Linked DNA regions of Arabidopsis thaliana. The protein of the gene in region 1 purifies or fractionates together with the protein of each later gene. This does not show direct contact. Each region holds a gene or a part of one and is shown in the gene's direction. Other genes may lie near its edges.

Region 1 (7,198 bases):
AAGCTGACTTGTAACCAATTGAGCAAAAGCTGGATTTGGATAAACCAAATCTCCAAGTTCCTCCAACGTGTAGTCACTCGCCGCCGTCACAAAGCCAGCTCCAGCACCGTTACAGTCAACATCAAGCCGTCCAGAGCTAGGATCCACGCGGAGTCTCCCGGCCAAGAACTCATAAGCGTCCATGAGTTTCACCAACGCCTTTCTCAGCTTCTCCGAGACCATCTCCGGTGGAAACTCCTTGTTAGGTCGGAAGAAATGAACTGTTTGAACGTCAAAGTTGAGAATTTGGTCGACGTTGGATAAGAACATGGATTTTCTCTCGCTGGTTTCTTCAGATGGGAAAATGAGTGTTGATTCTTTGATCGTAACCTTAAGATCTTCAAGAAGCAACGGTGGAGATTCTTGGTACGAAGAACCCATTTTGCAACCCTTCTCTCTCTCTCTTTCTCTCTAAGTTAATTAGGTTTTGAGTGAAGTTTGTGATTTGGGTTTCAGACTTAATCTATATTATATAGACTAACACGTAGTAAAAGGCGTTTTTAATTTTATCTTGGCTTTATGATAATGTACGTGTACATTATAGTATGAAATAATCCATGGAGAGTAAATTATTGATCCCATAATAAATGTGACTTTTTAATAAAAAAAGATATGGTACGGATCGTTACAAGAACAAACAAAGCAGTTTCGTGCTACGTAGACGTCGTTTTTATCCAGTCACATGAAAACGTTATTCTTTAAAAGCTAAAATTGTCACTGTTGTATTATTGTGTTGTGTTTATAGATTTGGGAAGAATGATGGGCTGCATTGGTGGGTGTGAGTAGGGTTGGTGATTTATGTTTTTTAAAATTTGATAGGAGAACTTTGATATGTCGGTGTAGCTACATAATATGCATGTGATATATCAACCTTTTTGTTGTGATATTTGCCAAACTTTGACTTCTCCATTTGTGGTTTATGGAATAATACGATTTTTACCCATTTGCAGTATCTCATTACGGTTACAAACTTACAATCTACAATTAGTCTAGTTTCTAACCTTTTTCTTGCCATATTAAAAGGCATGAACTCAAAATATGGCCGAATCCAAGCCCGGCCCGTTCATAAAAAAGCCGAAACATTTGTTTTAGGCCACCTAATATAAAAAGTTTTTAGGGCCTCATGTGTAAAATTTGTCCTACAATATAATTTGTCTAGTGTTATATTTATTTTTATATATGTCCAAATGTTTATATTATTATCAACTTGTTATTTAATTTTAAATATATCAATTATAAGATTTAAAACTTTTTCACAGTTTAAAATTTTATATTTTTGATAAAATTAAATTGTTTAACTAAAAATTAAATTAATCTATAGACAAACTTTTAAATTTGAATCCGATTTAGATTTATTTTAATTTTATTTATCATATAAATTTAAATAATTGTTTAAACATTTTAGCCGATGTAACGTTTTTTTATTAATTATTAATGTATGTCTATTTTCTTATATTTCGAATTATCGAATTAAATATTCTCCACTCTAATTATAAGATAAGTTGAATAAACTTTGTTTTGTTTTTAGTCTCGACTTTTTTTTCTTTACATTTCTTCAAAAAGTATAATAATTTTTAAAAACATTATTAAAAAAAAAATATTTCTAAAACGCAGAGAAAAAATTGAGGCAAATCTGTCAGTATAAACTTGTAATTTCATCGTCTCCGTCTTCTTCTTCGTTTATCAGTTCTTCGTCGCCTTTCGCTTATGAAAAATTCACACTGGTAAAGCTTCTTCCTTTACCAAACCCATTTCTCTTCTCTAGCTCCTTCTGGGTTCTCTTTTCGAAGAACCCTAGTAATCGCGAGAACCTTCTTCCCCCTTTCTCTTCGCAAAATCAGAAATCATAATCACAATCTCTTCGTTTTTTTTTGCAGTTTGCAGGGCTAATTTCTGCGTTATCGTACTTCTAATTTGTTGAGATAAACATGGCGAGGAACGCAATCTCTGACGATGAAGGTACCTTAATCGCTTCGTCGCAAACCCTAATTTTTTTCTGTGTGAAACGCCGTAATAATACTAGGGTTTTGTTTATTTCTTCTGATTTGTATGAAAAAATTGAATCCTTTTCTCTTTTGCGTAGAGGATCATGAGCTTGAGGATGACGACGGAGAGCCAGTTCATGGAGATCCAGCTGAGCATGATGAAAACGATGATGAAGAAGATGATGATGACGGTATAAGTTTTTTCCTTGATTTTGACTTCTCCCAGTGAGAAATGTGTCGTCTTTCGTTTCTTTTTGCTTACCACCCTAAATCTGGAAGCTGTAGAGTCTGATTGCATCGAAGGAAATTAGTGGTATGGTTTGGTTTAGTACTGAAGCGCATGCAGTTCTTTGTCTTAAAATCGATTCATTTGGAGAAATTCTGCTGCATTTGCTCCATTAGAAGATGCAGTGTCTGGATTTGGCAACCAAAAAAAAAAAAAAAGTGAATGCATCTTGTTTCTTAGATGTTTACTTATCTGCTGCAAAGTCTCTCCTTCTACCACTTCTTGTTTCTATATTCTCTGTTTCATACGGTTGCTTGATTTGTTCCTTTTTAGACTTCATGGTTTCTGCAAGTTTTGAGCTGCACACATTTCTCTCACCTTGGGTTTGAGTATTTTTTTTTCTTTTTCTTTCTAGGCTTTTTAACTTAGATTCAGGCTATTTTTGTTCCATGATGTGGGATCCGTATATCTGTTTTGTAGTTGGGAATGAGTATGAGAATGATGGGTTCATAGTGAATGATGAAGACGAAGAGGAAGAAGAGGAAGAAGACGAAGAAAGGAAAGATAGCGATGAGGAGAGGCAGAAAAAGAAGAAGAAACGAAAGAAAAAGTGAATATTTTATATCCTTACTCATTCTCTTAGATTTTATCCTTTTCTAACATATGAAAAACTAAATGTTAGTGTTGACATGCATGATACTTTTGAAGAAATGTTCCCTTAATTCTCAGCAGTCTTTATTTGTGATTTTCATACATTGTTTGTGATGAGTATGTAAGTTACCATTAGACGAACTATAGCAGGTCTGTTCTCTTTCTGACTAACCTTCCATTTATGATAATTTTAATAGGGACGAAGGTCTTGATGAAGATGATTATTTGCTTCTACAAGATAACAACGTCAAATTCAAAAAGGTTAGTCATATTTGTGTATATAACAATACATCAGGATTTTGTAGATACACTAAAAATATATGTGCAGTACTAATACATTTGACTTTTTTCTTGAACCATGACAGAGGCAGTATAAGCGGTTGAAGAAAGCTCAAAGGGAACAGGGAAATGGCCAGGGAGAATCATCCGATGATGAGTTTGATAGTAGAGGTGGAACTAGGAGAAGTGCTGAGGATAAGATCAAAGACAGGCTGTTTGATGATGTTGATGTTGATGGTAGGTTCTCTGTGCCTTCTGATACTATTATGTTGACTGTTGGCACATAGTTGACTATGTACATTTTGTGTCTACTAGATCCACCTGATGATGTAGGTGATGAGGAAGACTTAGTTGTGGAAGAAGATGTAGTTGGGAGCGAGGATGAAATGGCAGATTTTATTGTAGATGAAGATGATGAGCATGGTCCTCCTAAGAGGTATTTTTTTTCTGTCTTTTTTGTGCCCTAACATATCACTTATGTCATGTACATTTTCTGATTCTAATCAACTTACTTTTCAGGGGCAACTCGAAGAAAAAGAAATATAGGCAGGGATCAGATATTACTGCTATGCGAGATGCTAATGAAATATTTGGTGATGTTGACGAATTATTAACAATTCGCAAAAAGGGTTTGGCATCTAATCAAAGGATGGAAAGAAGGCTCGAAGATGAGTTTGAACCAACTGTTCTTTCTGAGAAATATATGACAGGGAATGATGATGAAATCCGCCAGCTTGATATTCCTGAGAGAATGCAGGTGCATTATCTTCTTTAGTTTTCTCTATGTATACTTGTGGTCTATGTTTTCTTTGGTGTTCAAGGATAGATGTAAAGATATCTTGTAAACTTTGACAGATATCTGAAGAAAGCACCGGAAGCCCTCCTGTAGATGAAATTAGCATTGAAGAAGAAAGCAATTGGATATATGCTCAACTTGCTTCCCAACTTAGAGAATCTGATGGAACTTTTGATGGGCGGGGTTTCTCGGTTAATAAGGATGACATCGCAAAATTTTTGGAGCTACATCATGTGCAGAAATTAGAGGTTTTGGATTCATTCTCTCGTTGGATTTTCTTTGATTCATTGATTAGCTTGCTAATGTTTTCTGTCTCTTCTAGATACCGTTTATAGCTATGTACCGAAAGGAGCAATGCCGGAGCTTGTTGGACACTGGTGATTTTGATGGCGCCAATCAAGGCAAGAAACCTGAGACCAAGTGGCATAAGGTAAGCAATTATCTTGGATAAACAACAAGTGCTCAGGTTAACATTTATTGTCAGAGGAAATTTGGTGGATTCTATACTATTTTCCAATGCAGGTCTTCTGGATGATTCATGACTTGGATAAGAAGTGGCTCCTTCTTCGAAAAAGGAAAATGGCGTTGCATGGTTACTATACAAAACGTTACGAAGAAGAGTCTAGGAGGGTCTATGATGAAACAAGACTTAATCTAAATCAGTATCTTTTTGAATCAGTCATTAAGTCTCTTAAAGTTGCAGAAACAGAAAGAGAAGTTGATGATGTAGATTCCAAGTTCAACTTGCATTTTCCTCCCGGTGAAATTGGTGTTGATGAAGGGCAGTATAAGAGGCCGAAAAGGAAATCACAATATAGCATCTGCAGTAAAGCAGGGCTCTGGGAGGTTGCAAACAAATTTGGGTATAGTGCTGAGCAACTGGGACTTGCATTGTCCCTAGAAAAACTGGTCGGTATGCTTTTATATTGTTTGATTTGCATGTTGTACTGGAATGGCAGTTCTGACGCTAAATGAGTTGCAGGTTGATGAGCTTGAGGATGCAAAGGAAACACCAGAGGAGATGGCTAAAAACTTTGTGTGCGCAATGTTTGAAAATTCTCTGGCAGTTCTGAAAGGTGCACGGCATATGGTATATACTCTGCAATAATACTATTTTTTGAATTGCTTAGCTGGGTTTAATATCAGAAGGACTTCCCTAATCACTAATGCGGAGATATCCCATTTTTCCTTGTTAGGCTGCAGTTGAGATAAGTTGCGAGCCATCAGTCAAAAAGTATGTCCGTGGCATTTATATGGAGAATGCAGTGGTCTCAACAAGTCCAACAGCAGATGGAAATACAGTAATTGATTCGTTCCATCAGTTTTCTGGGATTAAGTGGTTGCGTGAAAAGCCATTGAGCAAGTTTGAGGGTGCACAATGGCTTCTCATTCAGAAGGGAGAAGAGGAGAAACTTCTTCAAGTAACCTTCAAGCTGCCTGAGAATTACATGAATAGGCTAATTAGCGACTGCAATGAACACTATCTAAGTGTTGGTGTTAGTAAGTATGCTCAACTCTGGAATGAGCAAAGAAAGTTGATATTGGAGGATGCACTTCATGCTTTTCTTTTGCCATCAATGGAGAAAGAAGCAAGATCCTTGCTAACTAGCAGAGCGAAGAGTCGGTTGCTTTCAGAGTATGGACAGGCTTTGTGGAACAAGGTGTCTGCAGGGCCATACCAAAAGAAAGAAATGGACATTAATTTAGATGAGGAAGCTGCACCGAGGGTCATGGCATGTTGTTGGGGACCTGGGAAGCCACCAAATACATTTGTGATGCTGGACTCATCAGGTGAGGTGCTTGACGTGCTTTATGCTGGATCCCTTACATCGCGATCTCAAAATGTTAACGACCAGCAACGTAAAAAGAGTGACCAGGATCGTGTTTTAAAGTTTATGATGGACCACCAACCGCATGTTGTGGCTTTAGGAGCTGTCAATTTGTCTTGTACTCGTCTGAAGGATGATATTTATGAGGTAAGACTTCATATACCATAATGACACTATGTTCGTTGACTTATGCTATTGCAATGTACATGTTCCGAGTTTGATCTTGAGATAAAGGACCTATATCCATATGGTTCTGGATAACTGTGGTCACTGGTTTACTTAATTAGTTCCTCAGTGCCTACTTTGTAGAGACCTGGATTTTGTGTGTTTTTCATCAATACTTTCAAACTCGCTATACCTTTTTAGACTTCAACTGCTTTACCGAAAATGATAATGTTATATATCTGATGAAATAAGCTTAAGTTTCTGCTTTTATATCACTTTGTGAAAACTTAATCGCTGTGTTTCAATTTTCATAACTACTCCTCTTGAATAGTAAAATTTTGTTATGCTTTATTCTATATATCAGGTCATATTCCAGATGGTGGAGGAAAAACCTAGAGATGTCGGACATGGGATGGATGATTTAAGCATTGTTTATGTGGATGAATCACTTCCTAGGCTATATGAAAATTCTCGAATCTCGGGTGAACAGCTACCTCAGCAGTCAGGGAACGTGAGACGTGCAGTTGCTCTTGGACGCTATCTCCAGAATCCACTAGCAATGGTGGCAACTTTATGCGGTCCAGGTCGGGAAATTTTGTCTTGGAAGCTTCATCCCTTGGAGAATTTTCTTCAGCTAGATGAGAAGTATGGAATGGTTGAGCAGGTTATGGTTGACATTACAAACCAGGTTGGAATCGATATTAACTTGGCAGCTAGCCATGATTGGTTCTTTTCTCCTTTACAGTTCATTTCTGGACTTGGGCCTCGGAAAGCTGCATCCTTGCAGAGGTCGCTTGTAAGAGCTGGTTCAATCTTTGTCCGCAAGGACCTGATAATGCATGGACTTGGTAAAAAGGTTTTTGTAAATGCTGCCGGTTTCTTGCGCATCCGCAGAAGTGGGCTGGCTGCTAGTAGCAGTCAATTTATTGACTTATTGGATGACACCAGAATCCATCCAGAGTCGTATAGTCTTGCTCAAGAATTGGCGAAAGATATATATGATGAGGATGTCAGAGGTGATTCAAATGATGATGAGGATGCGATAGAAATGGCTATTGAGCATGTGAGAGATCGGCCAGCTTCTTTGAGAAAAGTTGTCCTTGATGAATATCTTGCCAGCAAGAAACGGGAGAATAAGAAGGAAACTTATAGCAATATCATAAGAGAATTAAGTTGTGGTTTCCAGGATTGGCGGATACCATTTAAAGAGCCAAGTCCAGATGAAGAA
Region 2 (7,675 bases), on another chromosome or scaffold:
GGATGGAGTTATTGTGTCACTATACCATCGTGGACACTTCTTTCAAAATCGAAAAATTCAGATCCTATAGTGGTAAATAAGTTTCGATCTCTCTCTCTACACAGTGTAGATTTTTCTATAGCTAGTTGTTGTTCTTATCGAAGTTGTGTATTTTCGTGAACTATTCCAAGGAACTCTTGCTCGATATATGTGACATTCTTGAGGTACAGTTTTACAGGGTTCAGGTAAGTGTGCAATCTCCAGAAGGTGTTAGCACAATGCGAGGAATTCTGAGGAGATTTAATGATTTTGTAAAGCTTTTAGCTGATGTAAGATTCTCTCAATCTTTCTCAACTCAATGATATTCAACATGATTTGTAGTTGTTTTTGGTCAGTGTGATTCAAACAAGTTAACTGCAATGTGTTTTATGGCATATGATTTACAGCTCAAAAGAGCATTTCCTAGGAAAAGTTTTCCATCAGCTCCTCCTAAAGGATTTTTGCGTGTCAAAAGTAGAGATATGTTAGAAGAGGTATGCATTCTCTTGTGGAGCTATGTTGTTCTTTTCAAATTTTCTCTCTTTCACGCTTTCCTGCTTTTGTGGTTCCTCAATCAAGAACATTTTGACGCAGGTTTCATGTAGAAGTATATGTAAAGTACTGTACTCAAGAATTATATTACACTCATTTTAAAGATGTGGTGTTGTTGCAGAGAAGGTGCTCTCTGGAGGATTGGATGACGAAGTTGTTATCTGATATAGAATTGGCAAGAAGTGTTGTAGTTGCATCCTTCCTCGAACTAGAAGCTACTGCTAGGTCTGGTATGAGCCCATTATAGTATTACAGTTACCGTTTGATAAAGATTCTTAAAGGCAGTTAGTTAATCTATGTTTAAGTAAATGTGCTTAGTCTTTCACTATAATTTAAAGTTGAATTTTTTTTTGTTCCAGCATGCCAAGTTGTAGATCAGAATGCTTCCGATTCCAATGATGATGGAAATAGCACAAGCTTGTCGTCTCTAGTTCACCCAAATTCTGGTGGCAGTTCTTTGCTCTCATCTGACTATGGCAGCGATACTGCTTATGAAACATCTGAGCTCGGATCAGCAAGTTTAGGTCAGGATGATGTTTCTGAAACTGATACTGGAGATCTAACTTTGGATGAAGATCTGACAAATCCAACAGAGAAGCTTGTAAAGTTTAGCATGTCCAACATTGACGAGGGACTGAGTATGAGTCAAACTATTATCGAGCAGCTAGAAGATTTTCCTAAGCACAGAGTCCATTTAGGATATGCCAATGATATCACAGAGACGAATTCGTACAATGGAAAAGCTTCTAAAGGTGTATTTCGAGCAAACAACGACTTACGGTGTCGCTCTGAATCAGAAACTAGTCACTCAGTGATGCATGATCGAAAGCTTTCTCTTGAGAGCGCTGACGGGGTTTCGTTACTAGCCGGTGAGACATCAACCTCTAGTATCTTGAGCTCCATTGTACATAGCCAGCTGGATGTTAATCATGATATATCTGTTGGTAACCTGGAGATACCGGGTAATGGACGAATAGTTCTCCCGCTGAAAATGCATAGTAAATTAAATAGGATTCTATTAACTATGAATGAGAGACTTCTCAATTCAAAAACAGACATGGAGGATCTTATAGCGAGACTAAATCAAGAGACAGCGGTGAAGGAATATCTGAACAGAAAGGTACATGATTGAAAATAATAGTACATCTGTTTTCAAGTTTGTTGGTAATGAAATCTGCGCTTCTTCCTTTACTCTTCATGCGAATGTCATATATGTAATCTTGGTTTTCCTGTTCAGGTTGATGATCTGGAAGTGGAACTTGAAACTACTAAACAGAGAAACAAAGAGAATTTGGAGCAAGCTTTGATGACCGAGAGACAGAGTGTTACCAAGATGCAGTGGGATATGGAAGAACTCAGGCAAAAAACTTTTGAGATGGAACTGAAGTTAAAGTCAAAAGAGGTATTGAAATTTGAAATAGTTCCATCTCAATCACATTCTTTCCACAATTAAGCAAGTTCACATCGAGCGAGTAATTTATATCTAGCAAAGTAACTTACTGACACCTGCAAACTAATACAGGATGGGAGTTCAGATTCTAAGACGTCAGGAAACTCAACAATCTCTGAGAGCCATGAGCTGTTACAAGAAATGGATGCCACAAAACAGCAACTGGAAGATCTTTCTAGACGGTATGTTGAACTGGAGGCAAAATCAAAGGCAGACATAAAAGTGCTTGTCAGAGAGGTCAAATCCCTGAGACGTTCACATATGGAAATGGAAAAGGAACTGACTCGATCGCTGACAGAGAAGTCTGACACTGAGGTAAATCTTAAGCTTGTAAATAAAAAGCATTATATTATTGCTTGCATCATCCGCTTGTGGTAAATGTATATGATCCTACAGAAAGAACATCAAAACATACTGAAACATGTTTAATTTTTTCAGAAACTCCTCCAACAGGAAAGGATAATAGTCGAGAACACGCTAGAAGCAAGAAGAAGGCTGTATAGTGACTGTGAAATTCTCCACGACAGGCTTAAAGTGAACAACACAAACTTGTCAATGGATGAGTCCAGTAACAACAGAGAAGACTTATCTGAAGTATCAAATGCCTTGCAAGATCAGATTGAGGTAAGCTATTGGTGCATCTCCTTTAATATCTGTAGCAAGAAAAATCGTATTCAAATGTTTACATTCGATAACCATGGCTCAAAATCGCCAAGCTGGATTCCTCGTTTTAAATTTGAAAGTGGCATATTTTCAGGCGCAACTGCTGTTAGGGTTTGATGAGACTGCTTCTGAGGATGAGCTGAGGAAGATAATGGCAGATATGTATGAGGACTGAGGAGAATATCAAATTGAGAAAACATTTGAATTCCGCAATGCAGGTTAAGAGCTCTGTGAAAGAGGAAAACGAAAAACGCAGAAGGTGAAGAGCTTATAGAATAGATATACCATGTACAGAGAAAAGTAGAGCAGAAAGTTGGTTAGTGACGTAAATCCCTTATTTTGAATATGCGAGTCAGATTCTTCTTTATGTAATTAATTGATGTATATGCACACACATGTCTACATCAGATCACCTAATCCATTGTAAAATTCGAAACCATCAGTGTCATTGTTTCTTGTTCACCAAAAACAACTACCATCCATCACTCATGGTCCACAGAGCAGTCGTTGAAAATCAGTGAAAGAAGTGTCATTTTGTCCCAAAAAAAAAGGAAGGACGAAGGAGACTTTTTAGTTGACCAAATCATATGGATCTACTAAACCGAAATAAACCACTCATAACCATTATAGTAAATTACTTGGTTCGGAGTTTTTAATTTCCGATCGTCTTCAACATCACCAAAGCAAAAAACTTTAGGGTTTTAGTGTTTTTTAGGGTTCTTCTTTCTCTCTACCTCTCAGTTCTGCTTTTGCTCTGTCTCCCTTCATTGGATAAATCAATTGGTGTTGTTAGCGAAGAAATAAGAAAGATGGGTACTGAAGTTTCTACCTCGCCGACAAGCCTCATTGATCAGACTGTTGTGCGTATTTTCTACTAAAACCTCTGCTTCTTTGATTATCGTTTTAGATTGGGATTACATTGAAAGATTAAGTTTTGTGAGATGGGTTTCAGGTTCCAGGTGATGTTGTTCTCGATTTATCAAACATGACTAACCAAACAATCAAACTCGGCAGTGGTCTCCGTCAGGTTTTTAACTTTCTCAAAATCACTTGTTCCAAATCTTCGATCATTTTTTTGGAGTTTGAAATTTGTTGTGTTGAGTGTATGAATGAATTAATGAATGTTTTGCTCATTATTAAACAAGTTATGTTGAATTTTGGATCTTGCATTGGCATTTGAGGAATAAACTTAATTTGGAATCTACAGTTTGCTTTTTGTTGGGCTTGCAAGGCTAGAAGATTGACATATGATTTTGAGGTTTTTTCAGGATAATGAGGTGATATCTGTTATGAGAGCTGGGAAGTTGAGGTACTCTAAGCCAAATAAGTATTGGGTGGAAAGTTCTCATAAAAGGGTGAGAACTAATTAGTTTCTTGCTGGTTGTATTTTGCAATAAATTGGTACCTTTTTCCTGATATCTCCTAGCTCTACTAGTTATTCGATTGTTCATCTGCGCTTAACTTGTCGAAAAAGTGGTGGTTTTGCTCTCTAGTTTGAAGAATTACTCCATGTTACTCGATTTTGACTCTGTTATTATGTTTTTTTTGCAGTATGTACCTCGTCCTGAGGATCATGTTCTTGGCATTGTGGTAGATTGTAAAGGAGAAGTAAGTACTCTAAAGACGATCCTTAAATTTTTGTTAGAGATCCTTTTCCCTTGGACCCTCTGAATCAAGCATTTTTTCTCTGTATACAGTTCATTTAATGCAAAAATCATGTATAAAGAATATTGATTTCGGTTGTGCTCTATCATTATCCAACTTCTATCATTGCTCAGCTTGTTTGTTAGTTACATGTATATGTTAATAAATACTTGAGATCATGGATAAAGAAAACGGCATAAGCCTTTATTTAGAGTGTTGCCCCTAGAGTTCTCAGCCAAAGTCATGTTGCATGTAACAAAGTAGATCATAATATTTTGAAAATCGTTTTGACACATGTTTCATTGCAGAACTATTGGATAGACATTAAAGGACCACAATTGGCTCTTTTGCCTGTGCTTGCATTTGAAGGAGCAAACAGAAGAAATTATCCCAAGTTTGAGGCAAGTACCTTCTGAATATACTTCTTCAATCTGAACCATCATCAAAATAGTCTCTAGCTGGTAACTGCATTCAGTTGTTTGAGATGTTAGTATTGCCATTACAGTGTATTGAGAATTTCCCTGGAAATTACAATGGCTTGTGTGTGATATTGAAAGGATCCAGTACTTCATTGGTTTGTTTATGAGCATAATAGGCACTTTTACTTCGTCTGGAGTTGAGCTCATCAACTCTATTTCAAGTGGATTCGCTGTATTAAGTGATAACATAGTGATCACGTGTTTTTGGGAGTTGTGACAATTTGTTGATACAGGTAAGCACTCTGCTTTATACTCGGGTTGTGAAGACAAACACAGGAATGAACCCGGAGCTGTCATGTGTAGACGGTTAGTCCATCCATTCTTTTTTCTCACAAAGTTTAAAAAGTTAAATCATTTCCTTGTTTCTCCGCATTAATTGTTTAGACTAAGCAATTGCTGACTAGAATTGTTGGACAATGTAATAGAAAGTGGAAAGGCTGCAGGATTTGGTCCCTTAAAAGATGGTTTCATGTTTGAAACTTCAACTGGTTTATCTAGAATGTGAGTTTCACTCTTATTCCTTTATTTTTCTTCTAGATGAAGTGGCCTCTTCTCGACTTTTTCTCACTCTTACACTTTGTTCTTATTAGGTTGTTGAGTTCACCAACTTGCCCGGTCCTTGAAGCTCTTGGAAAGAAACTCTCGTTTGAGACTGCGTTTGGCTTAAATGGGAGATGTTGGGTAAGAAAAACAGTGATTGCTTCTTAAGAATCCAAACAATGCAACTGGAAATCGCATGGTTAATATCTTCTGTCTGGTTTCAGGTGCATGCGGCTGCTCCTCGTATAGTGATTATCGTCGCCAATGCGTTGATGAATTCTGAAACTTTAAGCGGGACACAACAGAGAATCATGGTAGAGAAATTGCTGGAGAAAATTTCAGACTGAAAAGTGTGTTGTATGCTTAACAGTATCACTACTTTATAAAAGAAACGTTTTAATTCGCATCTCTTTTTTTAGTATGTAGACTACACTCATATGTTTCTCTTTGAGATAAAAACAAACCAAGATTAAAATTTAAAAGAAACAACATGATTCGTCTAACGATAAATTGATAAGTTTTGGGAGATGGATTAGAGGAACTAGGGTTTGGCAATATTAATTGAAAAATCAATCGATACCAATACAATAACAGTTACAAACATTACGGTGCCTTCATAGCAAAGCAATTAATAAGAATTTATTTGACAACTTCTCTCTTATATATAAGTCTTCAGATTTTCCTACTTGAAACCAAAACGACATGGAGAGACGCGATCAAGACTTGAGTTACTAAAAACGGCGACTAGATTCTACCATAACCGGAGATTTCCCAAACCCTAAAGGCGAGGGTTGTTCTACAGTCGTCCTATCCGACTCTGCTGTGAAGAAGTTTTCAGACAATGTCGTCTACAGATTGTACACCAAGGGTTTGGTGGTGGAAGGTAAGGAAAAGACCGTGAAGTCTGGATTAGAGTTGCGATTTGCGATGAGAAGGAGAATTTGTTGTATGAGATTAAAGAATCACTAAGCGACACTAAGATTAGCTGCATAGAAGTAGAGAGCATGGCACTGATTCGTGGGTTAAGAGAATCCTTCGATTTGGGGATCAGACAAGTCGTGGTTTATTGCGATGACCAACTGCTTTACCAATATGTAAGTGTTTTCTCTTCTTTGTTATTGCTTTAGTTTAGTTCTTGAAGTGTGGAAATAGTTAGAGGCCAGATTGGTGATTTTGCATGTTAGAATATACTTTGAATTCTTTGGAATGATGATATAATGTCTTGGTTTTAATGAGAGTGAATTCTGATTTACATTACAGATTGTTGGTCGAGGGAAGATTAAGAAGAAGGTTGTCCATCTTGTGGACGAATTTCAACTTCTTCTAGAAGAGATGACCTATACTGACGCTGATTTGATTGCCCTTAACGATGTTAATTTTGCTTTTAAACTTGCAAGAGAAGCCATAGTTTCAAGGGACGATGTGAAGGCAGAGATATGTAGCATTTGTTTTGAAGAAACCGAGGGCGAGCGCATGTTCTTTACCACGGAAAAATGCGTTCACCGTCATTGCTTTCCTTGTGTGAAACAGTATGTGGAAGTGAAGCTCCTAAGCGGAACTGTGCCCACATGCCTTGATGATGGATGCAAGTTTAAGCTCACCCTTGAAAGCTGTAGCAAGGTTTTGACATTAGAGCTGATTGAGATGTGGAAACAAAAGATGAAAGAGGACTCGATTCCCGCTGCAGAGAGAATCTATTGCCCATATCCAAACTGCTCAATGCTAATGTCCAAAACCGAGCTTTCTAGTGAATCCGACCTATCCAATGACCGTTCTTGTGTCAAATGTTGTGGACTCTTCTGCATTGATTGCAAAGTACCATCACATTCTGATTTGTCGTGTGCTGAGTACAAAAAACTTCACCATGACCCTCTAGTTGATGAGTTGAAGCTAAAGTCTCTAGCAAAGGACAAAAAATGGCGTCAGTGTAAAATGTGTAGGCACATGATCGAACTTTCTCATGCCTGCAACCACATGACTTGCAGGTATATATTTATTTAACTCGATTATTCTACATCATTCGAGTACTTTCATTTCGTAATGTTAAACTTTGTGCATTCATTGTGTAGATGTGGATATCAGTTTTGTTACCAATGTGAGGTTGAATGGAAGAATGACCAAAAGACTTGCTCTTCTGGTTGCCTACTAACGGGACATGGTTATTATGATGATTATGATTATAATGAACCGGAATATGATTTTGAAGTAGATACATGTAATTACTATTCTGATGAAGAAGGTCGTCGTTGGCCTAGCTATGAAGAATATATTGATCAGCAAATGGCAAATCCAAAAATGATGTTAACTTTCTTATTTACTCCTTTGTTTC
Region 3 (6,990 bases), on another chromosome or scaffold:
AACTAATGCCGAGGTAATTTCTGCGTATAGTATTATTATATCCTCTTATTTGGCAGCACCTTGGGATTGTGGATTTTTATCATGCACGTAAGAGACAACACAACTGAGACTGGAACATGTTACACTTTCAGAAACTCCTCCAAGAGGAAAGAAAACTACTAGAGAACACAGTTGCGGCTAGAAAGAAGCTGCTTAGTGACTGCAGAATTCTCCACGACCGGCTTAAAGAGTACAACTTAAATTTGTCAATGGATGGAAACGGTAACTTTGTCGACGACTCAACTACAATATCAGACGTTTTGCGTTTACTGTCAATATCTGATGATCAAATTGAGGAGGTATTGCTGCATCACTGCTTTATTGCCATTTAAAATCAGTTTCCTCTAATAAGAGTTACTTTTCACGATATGTCCATCAGGATGAAGTTATTTATTACTTATTAGTGTAGGATAGTTAGGTTTCCGCTGCACTAATGAAAACTGTAACGTTGTGCATTTTACAAGTTTTAACGATTTAGACCATTTTCAGGCTCAGCTACTTTCTGGGTTTGACGAAAATGCTGCTGCTGAAGACATCGATAAAACTCTCAGCATGGATACTGAAACAAGAATTATGGAGGACGAGCTGAGGAAGATACTGGCAAACATTTTTGTTGAGAATGCGAAATTGAGAAAACAGGTGAACTCTGCAATGCTCCGTGCTCTCCAAAAAGACGTAAAGACCACTGAAGATGTGAATGAGGAAAATAGTGATGAGAAAGATGAAGCATCAAGAGAAACATTGAAGAGATAGGTAATAATAATAATAGTCGCTTTGACCTGAGAATAGACTGCCATTTTTTTTTCTCTATAAGCAAAGGACTGGTCGCTTTATAATACAAAACGGTTGGTCTCTTGGAGGAGCAAATTAGTTGAAGCTGAGTGTTGTGTAATCGATATATATACACACACGTGACACCACCCTTTTGAGAGTACATAAGGCAAAAAGATGTGTATTAAGTATGTTTGTTGTATAATTGTATTGCACTCTGTTGCATATATTTATTGTGATCCGAACTCAGTTCTTGCAAACAAAGTTGGAATTGTAAGGATTTAGGTTATACAAATTGTGTCAATTGATCATCATTGTCCTCAAGTATAAAGCATGTTTCTTTCTTGAAGCAGAATTTGTGGCTTCTTTCTCCAGGTATTTCAGACATTTCTTTATAGCAAGCAATTTTGAGGGAAGAAAACTGAAACTAGATAGAGAATATTAAATGCTAAAAACCTTTATCATCATCTTTGGACAGGATGAAGAAGTTAATGACATTTCCTTTAGCGCTCATAGAGCACACTCAAAAGTCTATGTGCGTGAATCCAGCTCATTCTCTAATGGTTTCAATAAGTTTTGATTAGTTGATAAAGTTACAAGGGGCAATTATAACAGTTTTCAAATTATTGAAACACTTAGGTGTATTATCACAAAAATAAAAAGTTAGGTGTCATTGGCAATTTAATACAAGTTTCTAATTTGATGATATACATGCATTAAACGTGCTTTGCAGTTTGTGCATATAACGAAATTTAGTGTGTATTTTAAAAAGCATCTCCTTACTTGTGCCCTGAAGTGTATGCTTATAAATTTAGTTCTCATTGTGTCAGCAAACTGTGTGTTATCAATTGCCTTACTCCAATGGCTTCAATAAGCTTACTTCAAGTTTCCGTAGCTATCCTTTGCTTTCTCATCCTTCATTACTTTCTCTTCAAGAAACCTCATGGCCGGTACCCTAGGAACTGGCCGGTTCTCCGGATGCTACCCGCTATGCTCAAGGCGCTTCACCGAATCTACGACTACAGCGTGAAGATTCTCGAAACCTCTGACTTGACCTTTCCATTCAAAGGACCGCGGTTCACAGGAATGGATATGTTGCTCACGGTTGATCCAGCTAACATTCATCATATAATGAGCTCAAATTTCTCAAACTACATCAAAGGACCGGAGTTCCAAGATGTTTTTGATGTGTTAGGAGACAGTTTCATCACCACGGACTCGGAGCTATGGAAGAATATGAGGAAATCTTATCAAGCCATGCTCCATAGTCAAGAGTTTCAAAGGTTTTCAATGAGTACCATGACAAGTAAACTCAAGTACGGTCTTGTTCCCCTTCTTAATCATTTTGCTGAGGAAGGAACAACTCTTGACTTGCAAAGCGTCTTCGGGAGGTTCACTTTCGATACAATTTTCATCCTTGTAACTGGTTCTGATCCTAGATCTCTCTCCATTGAAATGCCTGAAGACGAATTTGCTAAAGCTCTCGACGATGTTGGAGAAGGGATTCTTTATAGGCATTTTAAACCAAGGTTCTTGTGGAAGCTGCAAAACTGGATAGGATTCGGACAAGAGAAGAAGCTCACTGAAGCTAATGCAACTTTTGACCGCGTGTGTGCCAAATACATATCAGCCAAGAGAGAAGAGATTAAAAGATCACAAGGGACTTCCAATGGAGGAAGTCAGGATCTTTTAACTTCCTTCATAAAGCTAGACACGACCAAGTACAAGCTCTTGAATCCGAGTGACGATAAGTTCCTTAGAGACAACATCTTAGCTTTCATTCTAGCGGGAAGAGACACAACAGCCACCGCTCTCTCTTGGTTCTTCTGGCTTCTCTCTGAAAATCCACATGTGGTAGCCAAGATTCATCAAGAGATCAACATCAACACTGATCTATCAAGAACAGGAAATAGCCAAGAGAATGTAGACAAGTTGGTGTATTTACATGGTGCGTTGTGTGAAGCAATGAGACTCTACCCACCAGTTTCCTTCGGACGCAAGTCTCCAATCAAATCAGATGTGCTTCCAAGTGGCCATAAAGTTGATGCAAACTCTAAGATTATTATCTGTCTTTATGCATTGGGGAGGATGCGAGCGGTTTGGGGAGAAGATGCATCGCAGTTCAAGCCAGAGAGATGGATTTCGGAGAATGGAGGCATAAAACATGAGCCTTCCTTCAAGTTTTTGTCGTTTAATGCCGGTCCAAGAACTTGTCTAGGTAAACATCTAGCTATGACTCAAATGAAGATAGTGGCAGTGGAGATATTACGAAACTACGACATTAAGGTTCTCCAAGGACAGAAGATTGTGCCAGCTCTTGGTTTTATATTGTCAATGAAACATGGTCTTCAAATCACTGTTACTAAGAGATGTTCTGCTTGAAATTATTCATGTATTAAATAAAAAAATCATTTTGGTTTGGTTTTGATTTGGTTCTTAGTTTTTTTTTTTAGTTTTACGGTTTAAGTAAACCGAAATCCTAATATTGACTGGTTCGGTATAGTTTTGGTTCAAAATTTGCGTGCAAAAAAAAGAAGAGACTGTGCAGTGTTGTTCCTTTCTGGGTTCTCATCGTCGTCAAGGAACAAGCTTTAACAGAGTTTAACATATATTAGGGTTCTTATCTCCAAAACCCACCTCACTCATGGCTGCCAAAGTTTCTGTCTCTCCCACAAGCCTCTTAAATCAGATTGTGGTCCGTATATCTCTAAAAAGTTGGCTTTTTTATGATTTCGATTCGATTTGGTTACAATGAAGCATGGTGTTTTCAATTTTTAGGTTCCAGGTGATGTTGTTCTTGATTTGTCAAACATGAATAACCAAACAATCAAGCTCGGAAGTGGCCTTCTTCAGGTTTCATCTTCTTCTCTTTCTTATGTGTTGTTTGAATCCTAACAATTATTCCAGTGGGCACTTGATTTGTGATATACAATTGCAACTAAAAAGGAATTGTAGATTGACATGTGTTTGTTTTTTTGGCTTATTTTAGGATAATGATGCTATCTCTGCCATGAGAGCTGGCAAATTAAGTTACTCCAAGCCTAATAAGTATTGGCTCGAAAGTTCTCATAAACGGGTGAGCTCAGTGGTCTTACTAATCTTCCCTTTCTGGTTGCTTCTCTATTGAGCTTCTTGTGGATTATAACTGTGTCATCTGCTCGGATACTAGGTCCACTTGATTAATCATGAGTAGAAAAGTAACAAATAACCTGGCACAATTGCATCATGAAGAATTGAAGATTTGCCTTTTGTAGCATTTTGACAATTTGATGCTTTTGTGGATCATTCTTGCTAGTTTTCTCCCTAGTTATTTGATCATATACATCTGGCTTGATAAGACAATTTACCATTTTTGGTTTTCAAAACTCTAGTAGAATATTGTTTTGTTAATTATCTATGTAAGTCTCGTTCTCTTTGTTGCTGACTCTGTTATTATGTTTTTTTTTTGCAGTATATACCTCGCCCTGATGATCATGTTCTTGGAATCGTGGTCGATTCTAGGGCAGATGTAAGTCCTTTGAAATCATTGCTTGTATAGATTCTTGTGTTGTTTTTGGATCCCTCTCAGACTGGTCATCTCTGAAAGCATTTTATTATACTTTAGTTGTCAAATACGATACAAATATATGTTTGTCAGTTTCCGCGACTTCAGTCCTCATTTCTCTGAGCCAATAAAGGTGAACTTGTTTGTTGATGGTCTTGGATCAGTAAATAAATAGGTGGGAGTATTGAAGTTATGGTCTAAAATCAGAAGAAAACTGATACCATTATTGGACAAACAAATGTTAATTGACTTTTAAATTATCAGCTGCAGTTAAGCTTTCTTGCATGAACTAACATCGCCTTAGTAAGTACTGAATTGTTTCTTTTACTCATCATGTCATTGCAGAATTTTTGGGTGGACATTAAAGGACCTCAATTAGCACTTTTGCCAGTTCTTGCATTCGAAGGAGGAACACGAAGAAATATTCCCAAGTTTGAGGCATGTACATTCTGATGACTCAGGAAGCTCTCTTGAATTCTCATTTGGGATATGACATTCTCTATGAATTGATTGTTTCTGGAATGTTCAAATTTTTGTGTACTAAACAGGTAGGCACTCTGCTTTATCTCCGGGTTGTCAAGACAAACATAGGAATGAATCCGGAGCTGTCTTGTACCGAGGGTAAGTTAAAAGCTTTGGAGGCTAAAACAGTGCTGCTTCTCTTAATCCCTTTTAAACTAATTGTCTCTTGTTTCTATGTATTAGCTAGTGGGAAAGCTGCATTATTTGGACCCTTGAGAGATGGTTTCATGTTTGAAACTTCAACTGGTCTTTCAAGAATGTGAGATATACTTCCTCATAAAAAATGTCTCCTTATACTTTATCTATCTTCTTTCGCCATTACAACTTTACTTTCTCATCTCTTATAGGCTGTTGAATTCACCAACGCGCCCGGTCATTGAGGCTCTTGGAAAGAAACTCTCGTTCGAGATAGCTGTGGGCTTAAATGGCAGAGTTTGGGTAAATGCGACAGCTCCACGTATAGTCATTATCGTGGCCAATGCAATAATGAACTCGGAATCTCTAAGTGGGACTCAGCAGAGAATCATGGTTGAGAAATTGCTCGCGATAATTTCAGACTAAACGTTATTGTTCTTGAAATGTAACTGAACCCTCATGATGCTCTTTATAGCAAGTGATTTTGATTCATTCAAATACAATTTTATACAGTAAAAGTGTAGTCTAAATAAAAATACATATGCCACATGACGAATGCTTAATCTGTATACAACAGTAGTCTAAAGGTTGAAGAAATGATACATAACATTGTTAAAGCGAGGGAGGCTCGTATCTGCATACACAATCATATATGTTTCCTTTTATCAACTTCTCAGCCAATCTCTGATTTTTAACCATTGCTAGCTGCCAAAAAGGAAGAGAAGGTTTCAGCCAAAAGTTTCAATAACAGTTCTAGAGCTGAAATTTTCTGTCAAGTGAGGTTTAAACCTTGAGAGCCTCGCATTGGAATTGAGCGTTGAAGTTGGTGTGAAGTGCTCTTCCCATACCTTCCAAGACAACCTGCAATATTGTTAAACATCAAATAAAGAACAAAGCTTCTCTTTTTTGATGTGTTTGAAGTTTATGTCAGGTAGAAAACAGAGAAGGTTTTGTAGATACAAGATCAGCGTCTTTGGCAGCGGCTGCAAGCTCAGAGCTGACTTGTCTGAGGTCGATACAAGGACTTCCACATCCATTTTCAACAACCATCAATGGTGCTGACGTTGAATCCTTCTTTGATCCATCCCCTGGATTTACCATCGCATCCACAAGTAAGCCTCCCATTTCTGCCGCTCTCCTCAAGATGTCACAGTGCTTCAAGAGTAAAGACCGAACAAAAGAGTTAGTTACATGAAAGAACATCATAAACACTGCACAGAATCGAAAGTTAAACCTTAGCAGCCCCAGCGACTATATCAGGCAGTTCCATAGCGGTCACGTCGTTAAGAGCAGGAAGAGAGTTTGCCACTAGAACAACCTGGGGAATCATAATAACATTTTGTTTAGTGTTTCCTCAACTAATTTCACAATGAAATCATTTGGTCTGTGCATTTGATTTTGTGAAGAGAAGATTACTATAGGAAGAGCTAGAGAGAGACACGTACTTCAGTCCCTCGACGGAGAAACTCTCGAGCAAGAGGAAGCATCCCAAGAATGACATCTGCTCCCGAGTTATCAACAAAAAGTAATGCTCTTTTATGTCGATGAGGCTGCTTACCTCCAGATCCAAGCATCCTTTCTTTGAAAGCATCAAAATCGTCTACCTGATTTTACGGACCAAAAAAGATTTCCAGCTTCAAATTAACAGTTAGGAAAAAGTAACCTCAGCGGGGAAAAAGGGTGGTCTTGTCTCTCACCCTCCACGGTCTCTGCATCTTGTTGCGACTCATTCTGTATATTTCAATAATGGTTCCTTTGTGATATAGATCCACACATGCTCGAGATCCCCAGTCAAATATGTTTGCAGCAAGAACACCTTCTATAAGTGTAAGCAACCTTGCCTCCTGAAAAATCCGAGCACAATTGAAACACCAAGTAAGAAAAGTTGTCTCATGTATAGCACTGAAACGTTTAGTAGCAAACCATAAACCTACAAAGAGAGGAAGGTTAAAGGTCACAGACCTCGCTCATCGAATCAA
Region 4 (8,697 bases), on another chromosome or scaffold:
TTTAGCTCTGAAGGTTATATTGATGGCAAGAATGAGCGTAGGCTTGATGATTGTTTGAAATATTGCATTGTTGCTGGTAAAAAAGCTCTTGAAAGTGCCAATCTTGGTGGTGATAAGCTTAACACGGTAACATTTGAATTGAAATTGATCATAAAGTTTTGATTTTGAAGAGTTTAGGAGTCAAAGTTTTGATTTTTGGTTATTGGGTTTGTTGCAGATTGATAAGAGGAAAGCTGGAGTACTAGTTGGGACTGGAATGGGAGGTTTAACTGTGTTTTCAGAAGGTGTTCAGAATTTGATTGAGAAGGGTCATAGGAGGATTAGTCCATTTTTTATACCTTATGCTATAACAAATATGGGTTCTGCTTTGTTGGCGATTGATCTTGGTCTTATGGGTCCTAACTATTCGATTTCAACTGCTTGTGCTACTTCGAATTACTGCTTTTACGCTGCTGCGAATCACATTCGTCGTGGTGAAGCTGATATGATGATTGCTGGTGGGACTGAGGCTGCTATTATTCCTATTGGGTTGGGAGGTTTTGTTGCTTGTAGGGCATTGTCCCAGAGAAATGATGACCCTCAAACTGCTTCCAGGCCGTGGGATAAAGCAAGAGATGGGTTTGTTATGGGTGAAGGAGCTGGTGTTCTGGTATGTTTCACAAATTCTTAATCTCTCATTGATACTATGAATCTACATACATTTGGCTTGCTCTGTTTTGAATTGTATATAAGAGCCTGTTTTGGTCTTAGTTTATAGAATCTGATGAAACTTGTGTTCCCTAGTCTATTAGCTCTGGAAGTTTCCTTGCACTTGAATTGTACTACATTTTCAAAGTTGGTTTATCTCACCATGAGATTGGCTCATACATGTGACATTTTGTTTTGGAGAGACCCACTAATTGTTGTATGCCCTAATAGGTGATGGAAAGCTTGGAACATGCAATGAAACGTGGTGCTCCAATTGTAGCAGAATATCTTGGAGGTGCTGTTAATTGTGATGCTCACCATATGACTGATCCAAGAGCTGATGGTCTTGGGGTTTCTTCATGCATTGAAAGATGCCTGGAAGATGCTGGTGTATCACCTGAGGAGGTAAAAAACACAAACTTTTCATGCTTCCTAAGTTTTAAGGCTATCTGAAACAAATTTCTTCATTAGATTCGTGTTACTTCCCTACTTATATTCATTCCACGTTTTTCAGGTAAATTACATCAATGCACATGCAACTTCCACTCTTGCTGGTGATCTTGCTGAGATTAATGCCATTAAAAAGGTATTCAAGAGCACTTCAGGGATCAAAATCAACGCCACCAAGGTTCGTCCCCAATGCTCTATGATTGAGTGTTCTTCTTCTCCTCTATTTCAATGTATTTGTTTGCTTTGCATTTCCTGTGAATGACAGTTTCTGTTACAGTCTATGATAGGTCACTGCCTCGGTGCAGCTGGAGGTCTAGAAGCCATCGCCACCGTGAAGGCTATCAACACTGGATGGCTGCATCCTTCCATCAACCAATTTGTACGTATAACAGGAAGTCAAGAAAAGGCTTCTTTGATTCCGCTTTCAGTTTGAACTGTTGCAAGATTTGAACTTGGTCATTGTATTAGACTCTCACACTCTTTGTTTTCTCATTGTAGAACCCAGAACAAGCTGTGGACTTTGACACGGTCCCAAACGAGAAGAAGCAACACGAGGTTGATGTTGGTAAGTGACAAACATGACCGCCTTCTCATTGGATTAAACTGGCAACAGTTTCACTGATTAATGTCTTTCTGTTTTGCTGCAGCCATATCAAACTCGTTCGGGTTCGGTGGACACAACTCGGTAGTCGCCTTCTCTGCCTTCAAACCCTGATTTCTTCATACCTTTTAGATTCTCTGCCCTATCGGTTACTATCATCATCCATCACCACCACTTGCAGCTTCTTGGTTCACAAGTTGGAGCTCTTCCTCTGGCCTTTTGCGGTTCTTTCATTCCCCGTTTCTTACGGTTGCTGAGATTTCAGATTTTGTTTGTTCTCTCTCTTGTCTGCGGAATGTTGTGTATCTTAGTTCGTTCCATATTTGCGTAATTTATAAAAACAGAAACTGAGAGAATCTTGTAGTAACGGTGTTATTGTCAGAATAATCCAATTAGGGGATTCTCATCTTTTATTTCTCAACAATTCTTGTCGTGTTTTTACATTCGAAGAAATTAGATTTATACTGAATTTTTTTTCAGTTATACATATGTTGTGATACATCCGAAAATGTTCTCAAATCACACAGGTTTATTTTGGTTTTCATATATACATTTTTCGGTTTACTGGCTTGAAGGCAGTAGCAAAAGTTAAACCGAATTTACAATGAATTGATTTGGTATGTCTGGTTTTTGGTTTAGAATCTGGGTGTATTATACCGCCTTGAGGAAATCAAACGCGCCAAACAAGCGCGTAGACGTAAGTCCAAAATTGTACCGGCCCAAATTTGGTTAATCAAAAAGCACGTAGACGAAAGGCCCAACTAATATCGGCCCAAAATGACCCTTCCCGCCAAAAAGGGTACAGGTTATCTCACGAAATCCCGCCATAAGGAGAAGATCCGCCCTTTATGCCTCTCGAAATCGGAAATCGAAAATCTCTAATCAGTTTTTTTTTTTTAAGTAGAAGAAGAAAAGTTCTTACGAAGAACCCAGATTTTGTTAAGAAATGGATGTGCCAGAGGAGACGAGGCTTCGCCACAAGCGAGATTTTATCCAGTTCCTCGATAGTGTAAGTCGATTTCTATCACTTTTCTCACCAGACATTTCTCGAGCTTCTGTTCTTATCTAATTTGAAAAATTGGATTTTTTTTACGGATTGTGTAGATGTATATGGAGGAAATCAAGGCTTTGGTACATCAAAAGCGTCACCGTCTCATTATTAATATCTCTGACATTCACCACCACTTCAGGGAAGTTGCCTCTAGGTTCGTCATCTTCTCAATTTGTCTTCCTCGAATTTTTAATCGGTTCTTTAGTATAAGGTTATGAATTTACGGCAGATTTTAGGGTTTTGTTAGATTCAGTGAGGTTAATTTGGGGATTTTTAAGGATTCACTACAATTGTCATATGTTTTGTGACCTTAAAGTTGATTGCTTTGGTTTTTTTGGATAGGATACTGAAGAATCCAAATGAGTATATGCAGTCATTTTGTGACGCAGCCACTGAAGCTACTCGTGCTATTGACCCTAAATACTTGAAGGAAGGAGAGCTTGTCCTTGTTGGTTTTGAAGGTTATTTTGTTTCTCGCGTTGTTACTCCTAGAGAGCTTCTCTCTGATTTTATTGGATCTATGGTCTGTGTTGAGGGCATTGTCACCAAATGTAAGCTCATCATTTTCACTCTATTCCTCTGCTTTTCTTCTGTTTCCTTTGTGTTTTACGTAGAAGATTTTGAACCTCTGACACATGCTTTGCTTTCAGGCTCTCTTGTGAGGCCAAAGGTTGTTAAAAGCGTTCACTTTTGTCCATCAACCGGTGAATTTACCAATCGAGATTATCGAGACATAACATCTCACGCTGGTTTACCCACTGGCTCTGTCTATCCCACAAGGGTAATTACATGTTTTTTGTTTTCGTTTTGTTCATTTACCTGTACTGCTGGAAGATTTGCCTCTTACTGAAGATTGAGTTTTTTTTTGTTCAGGATGATAAGGGAAACTTATTGGTGACTGAGTATGGGCTGTGCAAATACAAAGATCACCAGACCTTGTCAATTCAAGAAGTGCCTGAAAATGCTGCTCCTGGTCAGCTTCCACGAAGCGTTGATGTCATTGCTGAGGATGACCTTGTTGACTCATGCAAGCCAGGAGATCGAGTATCTGTTTTCGGTATTTACAAAGCTCTTCCTGGAAAAAGCAAGGGTAGTGTAAATGGAGTCTTTAGGTGCGTTTTCTTACACATCTGTTAGTTCAAGATGTTTTCACTCTGATAGTCTTGACCGAGTTCTTTCTGTGTAGGACTATCCTCATAGCCAATAATATCGCTCTGCTCAATAAAGAAGCAAATGCACCTATATACACTAAGCAAGACCTAGATAACATTAAAAATATTGCACGAAGAGATGATGCATTTGATCTCCTTGCTCGTTCCTTAGCACCTTCTATTTATGGGCACGCTTGGATAAAGAAAGCAGTAGTTTTACTGATGCTTGGTGGTGTTGAAAAGAACCTGAAGAACGGAACCCACTTGAGGGGGTAAGTCTTGCTTGAAAACAGATTTCAGATTCGACTCATTGGATACTTTTTGTCTAACTCATTTTTCTTTCTTCACTTGAAAACAAATCTTGTGCTTTCAGAGACATCAACATGATGATGGTTGGTGATCCATCTGTTGCCAAATCTCAACTTCTGAGAGCGATAATGAATATTGCACCTTTGGCTATATCAACCACAGGCCGTGGTTCTTCCGGTGTTGGGTTAACTGCTGCTGTGACTTCTGACCAAGAAACAGGTAAAAAGCACACAAAAGCGTTTCCACATTTTTTTATCAAATGCTAAAATCAAAATTTGAAGGAAGGTCAAAAGTGCTATTTCTCATTAAAATCAAATTCTCATTTTCATCAGGGGAACGAAGACTAGAAGCTGGTGCAATGGTCCTCGCTGATAAAGGTATCGTGTGCATTGACGAGTTTGATAAGATGAATGATCAGGACCGAGTTGCTATACACGAAGTGATGGAGCAACAGACTGTAACAATTGCAAAAGCCGGTATCCATGCATCACTGAATGCTAGATGCAGTGTGGTTGCAGCTGCAAATCCCATATACGGAACTGTAAGTTCTCACCGAAGTTTTCCTAATCTACTTACTCTACTGACTAGTATTTTTTTGTCCTAATACCTACTCTTGCTCCTGCAGTATGACAGATCACTGACTCCAACAAAGAACATTGGACTTCCAGATTCGCTGCTTTCTCGTTTTGATCTACTGTTTATTGTGTTGGATCAAATGGATGCTGGTATCGACAGCATGATTTCAGAACATGTCTTGCGCATGCATCGTTACAAGAACGATAGAGGTAGGAAACAAATCATGCTTCTATGTTTTACTAAACATTTCACAACCCATGTCTTGAAACGCATCTGACTTTTGAGTGAACCATAGGTGAGGCAGGGCCAGATGGGAGCTTGCCTTACGCGAGAGAAGACAATGCTGAGAGTGAAATGTTTGTTAAGTATAACCAAACACTACATGGGAAGAAGAAAAGAGGCCAAACACATGATAAAACCCTTACGATTAAGTTCTTGAAGAAGTACATTCATTACGCCAAGCACCGTATTACACCAAAGCTCACTGATGAAGTGAGACAGTGAACTCAAATATATAAATTTTTATGTATCTGATAATCTCTTCCACTAAATCTCTTTTGTTATTAAATTTGCAGGCATCGGAACGTATTGCAGAAGCATATGCAGATCTCAGAAATGCAGGTTCCGATACTAAGGTAATTTATTTCATAAAATAACATTGGACACTGTATCTTTTTCGTCTTGGGAACTTGTATTTGACACAACCATCGAAATCTCTGCAGACTGGAGGTACGCTTCCGATAACAGCCAGAACTCTAGAGACAATAATTCGTCTTGCTACGGCACATGCCAAAATGAAGTTGAGTAGCGAGGTAACAATCTAACTCAAATCTTCTGTTTCCCCACCTGGTCGTGAATATGTTCTATTCAGATTCTTTCTAAAGTGATAACTTTATTTTGAAAGGTTACTAAAGCTGATGCAGAGGCTGCCTTGAAGCTTATGAACTTTGCAATATATCATCAAGAATTAACTGAGATGGATGATCGTGAGCAAGAAGAACGTCAAAGGGAACAAGCTGAACAAGAAAGAACACCAAGTGGACGTAGAGGCAACCAACGCAGGAATAATGAAGATGGAGCAGAGAATGACACTGCAAATGTCGACAGGTAAACTAATTTGATCTCCTCCATGGAAACCTATATCACAGCTTTCTCAACCCTTATACTTTTTTCTTTCTCTTTTGCTGGTCCATTCAGTGAAACAGCAGATCCAATGGAAGTAGATGAACCTTCTGTAGAGCAATTCAGCGGCACGGTCTCTGCAGCAAGGATTGAAACCTTTGAGCGAGTGTTTGGGCAGCACATGAGGACACACAGGCTCGATGACATCTCTATTGCAGATATAGAGACTGTTGTCAACAACAATGGGGTTGGAGCATCTCGTTACTCTGCAGATGAGATTATGGCTCTCTTAGAGGTAATTCACAAATTAAGAGACAAGCTTTCTCATTCTTTAACTTTTTATACAATATCTTCATAACTTTACTCTATTGTGGATTTTATGCAGAAACTGCAAGATGATAACAAAGTGATGATCAGCGATGGCAAAGTTCATATCATTTGATCATATGAAGAAATCAATATTGATTGCATCATCATCATCATATTAGAACTCAAAAATAGTGTAGTAGTAAACTCTTGGAAACCAAAATATCATTTTGTAAAATCTTTATTCATACGTTATGTTTTTTGCATTTACTAGTGAAGTAAAACTGATGATAAAATGCTTAAAAAAACGCATCTGATTATAAAATTTGGAATTTATAACGAAAAGCACAATCCGAGAATAAAATACTTTCATATTTATCCTATAATTTCTTGAGCTGTTTATGCCAAATTTTATACATATGTAATCGACATCAAGATTATAGTGTATATGTTGTTTTAACCCAATGGTAAGAATAGAGTTGTGCCATATATAAGCCAACTTCAAAACCCTAATAATCACTACCTTGGAACTCTCTCGTCTAAAAGATCCATGTTTTTCCATTTGGTCTCTATTACTTTTTTTTTTTTTTTCCAAAACATGTTTGCTTTGTCCATGATGGATCCTATACGTTTCTAAAATTGTACATATAATCAGGTTAAATTCCACAAAGACGGATTGAAATCAGTTTTGGTATACAGAGTAATACAACAAAATCTATTTTTTTTTTTGTTGCCAAATAACAAAATCTATTTTGGTAGGTTACTGCACACGTTTCTCTATCAACCCTAGTCAAAACAATTGAGTTACTAAATAAACTTACGTAGTTAGGCCATACATGTCTCTGATTCAGACCAGAGCTTCTCAGAAATGTTAAGGCCATGAGCAAGAGAAACTTGTCTCCACTCTAAGAATTCTAAATTCTTAAAGTAATCATAAAGTGAGACGTATGTGTAGTAATGTAAGGGGATAAGACATTAGAGGCTATGAAACATTTGCTTATGACCTTGTACAAAAGATGATTAAGACATCAAATTGGAAATATCCGTCAAGTTGTGTCTGAAACAATAGTGAAACTGATTAGTGAAGACTTTTGTGGCCGTGTTTAATATTTTTATATAATTAAATCACCAAGACGTACGATTACAATCTTAATCTCCAAAGTCTTTGTTCATAGTTTCCTCCTCTCATTCTCTCTATGGCTTCTTCATCTTCTTCTCGAAACTGGTTATATGATGTTTTCTTGAGCTTCAGAGGGGGAGACGTCCGCGTAACATTCCGTAGCCACTTTCTCAAAGAGCTTGATCGGAAACTGATCACTGCATTCAGAGACAATGAGATCGAGAGAAGCCACTCTCTCTGGCCCGATCTTGAACAAGCCATCAAGGATTCCAGAATCGCAGTGGTCATTTTCTCCAAAAACTACGCTTCATCGAGCTGGTGTCTTAACGAGTTGCTGGAGATTGTGAATTGCAATGATAAAATTGTCATACCAGTTTTCTACGGAGTGGATCCTTCCCAAGTGAGGCATCAAATCGGTGACTTTGGAAAGATCTTTGAAAAGACTTGCAAGAGACAAACAGAGCAAGTGAAAAACCAATGGAAGAAAGCGTTGACTGATGTAGCTAATATGCTTGGATTTGATTCTGCGACATGGTATGGTTTTTATACTAACTCATTATTAGATACATCTTGAGATAAAATTATGTCATATTCTTTAAAATTGTCCTTAACCTTATTAGGGATGACGAAGCAAAAATGATTGAAGAAATAGCCAATGATGTTTTGGCTAAACTGCTTTTAACTACACCCAAGGACTTTGAAAATTTTGTTGGCATCGAAGATCATATTGCAAATATGAGTGTATTGTTGAAATTGGAAGCTGAGGAAGTGAGAATGGTTGGTATATGGGGTTCCTCGGGGATTGGTAAGACTACCATTGCAAGAGCTCTGTTTAACCAACTTTCTCGGCATTTCCCAGTTAGCAAATTCATAGACAGAGCTTTTGTATATAAGAGTAGAGAAATTTTTAGTAGAGCCAATCCGGACGACCACAACATGAAGTTACATTTACAAGAGAAACTCCTCTCTGAAATTCTGAGGATGCCAGACATAAAGATCGACCACCTAGGTGTACTAGGAGAGAGGCTACAACACCAAAAAGTTCTTATTATCGTTGATGATTTGGATGACCAAGTGATCTTAGATTCATTGGTGGGTCAAACTCAATGGTTTGGAAGTGGGAGCAGAATCATTGCGGTTACAAATAATAAGCATTTCTTAAGGGCTCATGAGATTGATCATATTTATGAAGTTAGTCTCCCAACTCAGCAACACGCTCTTGCAATGTTATGTCAATCTGCTTTTAGGAAAAAATCTCCACCAGAAGGTTTTGAGATGCTTGTAGTTCAAGTTGCAAGACATGTGGATAGTCTTCCTTTGGGTC

What was found.
Region 2: the proteins of GTB1 (region 1) and AT2G25355 fractionate together in Arabidopsis thaliana (co-fractionation; one large-scale study listed by BioGRID). This does not show direct contact.
Region 3: the proteins of GTB1 (region 1) and AT4G32175 fractionate together in Arabidopsis thaliana (co-fractionation; one large-scale study listed by BioGRID). This does not show direct contact.
Region 4: the proteins of GTB1 (region 1) and MCM3 fractionate together in Arabidopsis thaliana (co-fractionation; one large-scale study listed by BioGRID). This does not show direct contact.

What each region holds. Positions count from the first base shown.
Region 1 is NC_003070.9:24,309,097-24,316,294, reverse strand, and holds the start of GTB1 (global transcription factor group B1), read left to right. Parts: upstream 1-1,655; 5' UTR 1,656-1,763; exon of another isoform or gene 1,764-1,836; intron 1,837-1,916; 5' UTR 1,917-1,967; coding exon 1,968-1,998; intron 1,999-2,122; coding exon 2,123-2,215; intron 2,216-2,426; coding exon of another isoform or gene 2,427-2,468; intron 2,469-2,730; coding exon 2,731-2,860; intron 2,861-3,098; coding exon 3,099-3,162; intron 3,163-3,266; coding exon 3,267-3,417; intron 3,418-3,495; coding exon 3,496-3,616; intron 3,617-3,699; coding exon 3,700-3,937; intron 3,938-4,035; coding exon 4,036-4,224; intron 4,225-4,298; coding exon 4,299-4,406; intron 4,407-4,498; coding exon 4,499-4,885; intron 4,886-4,958; coding exon 4,959-5,066; intron 5,067-5,172; coding exon 5,173-5,952; intron 5,953-6,334; coding exon 6,335-7,198. Other genes in the region: GLC (HXXXD-type acyl-transferase family protein), read right to left, coding at 1-420. UniProt on the Arabidopsis thaliana protein: Transcription elongation factor that enhances the transcription elongation by RNA polymerase II (RNAPII).
Region 2 is NC_003071.7:10,797,899-10,805,573, forward strand, and holds AT2G25355 (PNAS-3-like protein), read left to right. Parts: upstream 1-3,192; 5' UTR 3,193-3,492; coding exon 3,493-3,543; intron 3,544-3,635; coding exon 3,636-3,710; intron 3,711-3,951; coding exon 3,952-4,038; intron 4,039-4,234; coding exon 4,235-4,291; intron 4,292-4,635; coding exon 4,636-4,728; intron 4,729-5,039; coding exon 5,040-5,112; intron 5,113-5,231; coding exon 5,232-5,307; intron 5,308-5,396; coding exon 5,397-5,487; intron 5,488-5,570; coding exon 5,571-5,693; 3' UTR 5,694-5,824; downstream 5,825-7,675. Other genes in the region: AT2G25350 (Phox (PX) domain-containing protein), read left to right, coding at 1-72, 210-308, 426-512, 692-800, 930-1,690, 1,808-1,972, 2,093-2,335, 2,459-2,800; AT2G25360 (RING/U-box superfamily protein), read left to right, coding at 6,351-6,440, 6,607-7,331, 7,416-7,585.
Region 3 is NC_003075.7:15,532,101-15,539,090, forward strand, and holds AT4G32175 (PNAS-3-like protein), read left to right. Parts: upstream 1-3,333; 5' UTR 3,334-3,454; coding exon 3,455-3,505; intron 3,506-3,588; coding exon 3,589-3,663; intron 3,664-3,799; coding exon 3,800-3,886; intron 3,887-4,261; coding exon 4,262-4,318; intron 4,319-4,699; coding exon 4,700-4,792; intron 4,793-4,902; coding exon 4,903-4,975; intron 4,976-5,059; coding exon 5,060-5,135; intron 5,136-5,223; coding exon 5,224-5,437; 3' UTR 5,438-5,502; downstream 5,503-6,990. Other genes in the region: AT4G32160 (Phox (PX) domain-containing protein), read left to right, coding at 1-13, 132-338, 529-792; CYP96A2 (cytochrome P450, family 96, subfamily A, polypeptide 2), read left to right, coding at 1,672-3,192; PANK2 (pantothenate kinase 2), read right to left, coding at 5,624-5,716, 5,801-5,872, 5,972-6,166, 6,246-6,329, 6,457-6,615, 6,709-6,855, 6,974-6,990.
Region 4 is NC_003076.8:18,767,594-18,776,290, reverse strand, and holds MCM3 (Minichromosome maintenance (MCM2/3/5) family protein), read left to right. Parts: upstream 1-2,587; 5' UTR 2,588-2,684; coding exon 2,685-2,747; intron 2,748-2,842; coding exon 2,843-2,943; intron 2,944-3,131; coding exon 3,132-3,340; intron 3,341-3,439; coding exon 3,440-3,570; intron 3,571-3,662; coding exon 3,663-3,901; intron 3,902-3,975; coding exon 3,976-4,212; intron 4,213-4,313; coding exon 4,314-4,468; intron 4,469-4,581; coding exon 4,582-4,790; intron 4,791-4,874; coding exon 4,875-5,034; intron 5,035-5,120; coding exon 5,121-5,317; coding exon of another isoform or gene 5,318-5,329; exon of another isoform or gene 5,330-5,400; coding exon 5,401-5,460; exon of another isoform or gene 5,461-5,547; coding exon 5,548-5,637; coding exon of another isoform or gene 5,638-5,649; exon of another isoform or gene 5,650-5,729; coding exon 5,730-5,932; coding exon of another isoform or gene 5,933-5,936; exon of another isoform or gene 5,937-6,022; coding exon 6,023-6,242; intron 6,243-6,332; coding exon 6,333-6,389; 3' UTR 6,390-6,642; downstream 6,643-8,697. Other genes in the region: KASI (3-ketoacyl-acyl carrier protein synthase I), read left to right, coding at 1-126, 218-649, 919-1,092, 1,202-1,315, 1,415-1,564, 1,636-1,702, 1,785-1,852; AT5G46270 (Disease resistance protein (TIR-NBS-LRR class) family), read left to right, coding at 7,201-7,212, 7,429-7,907, 7,994-8,697.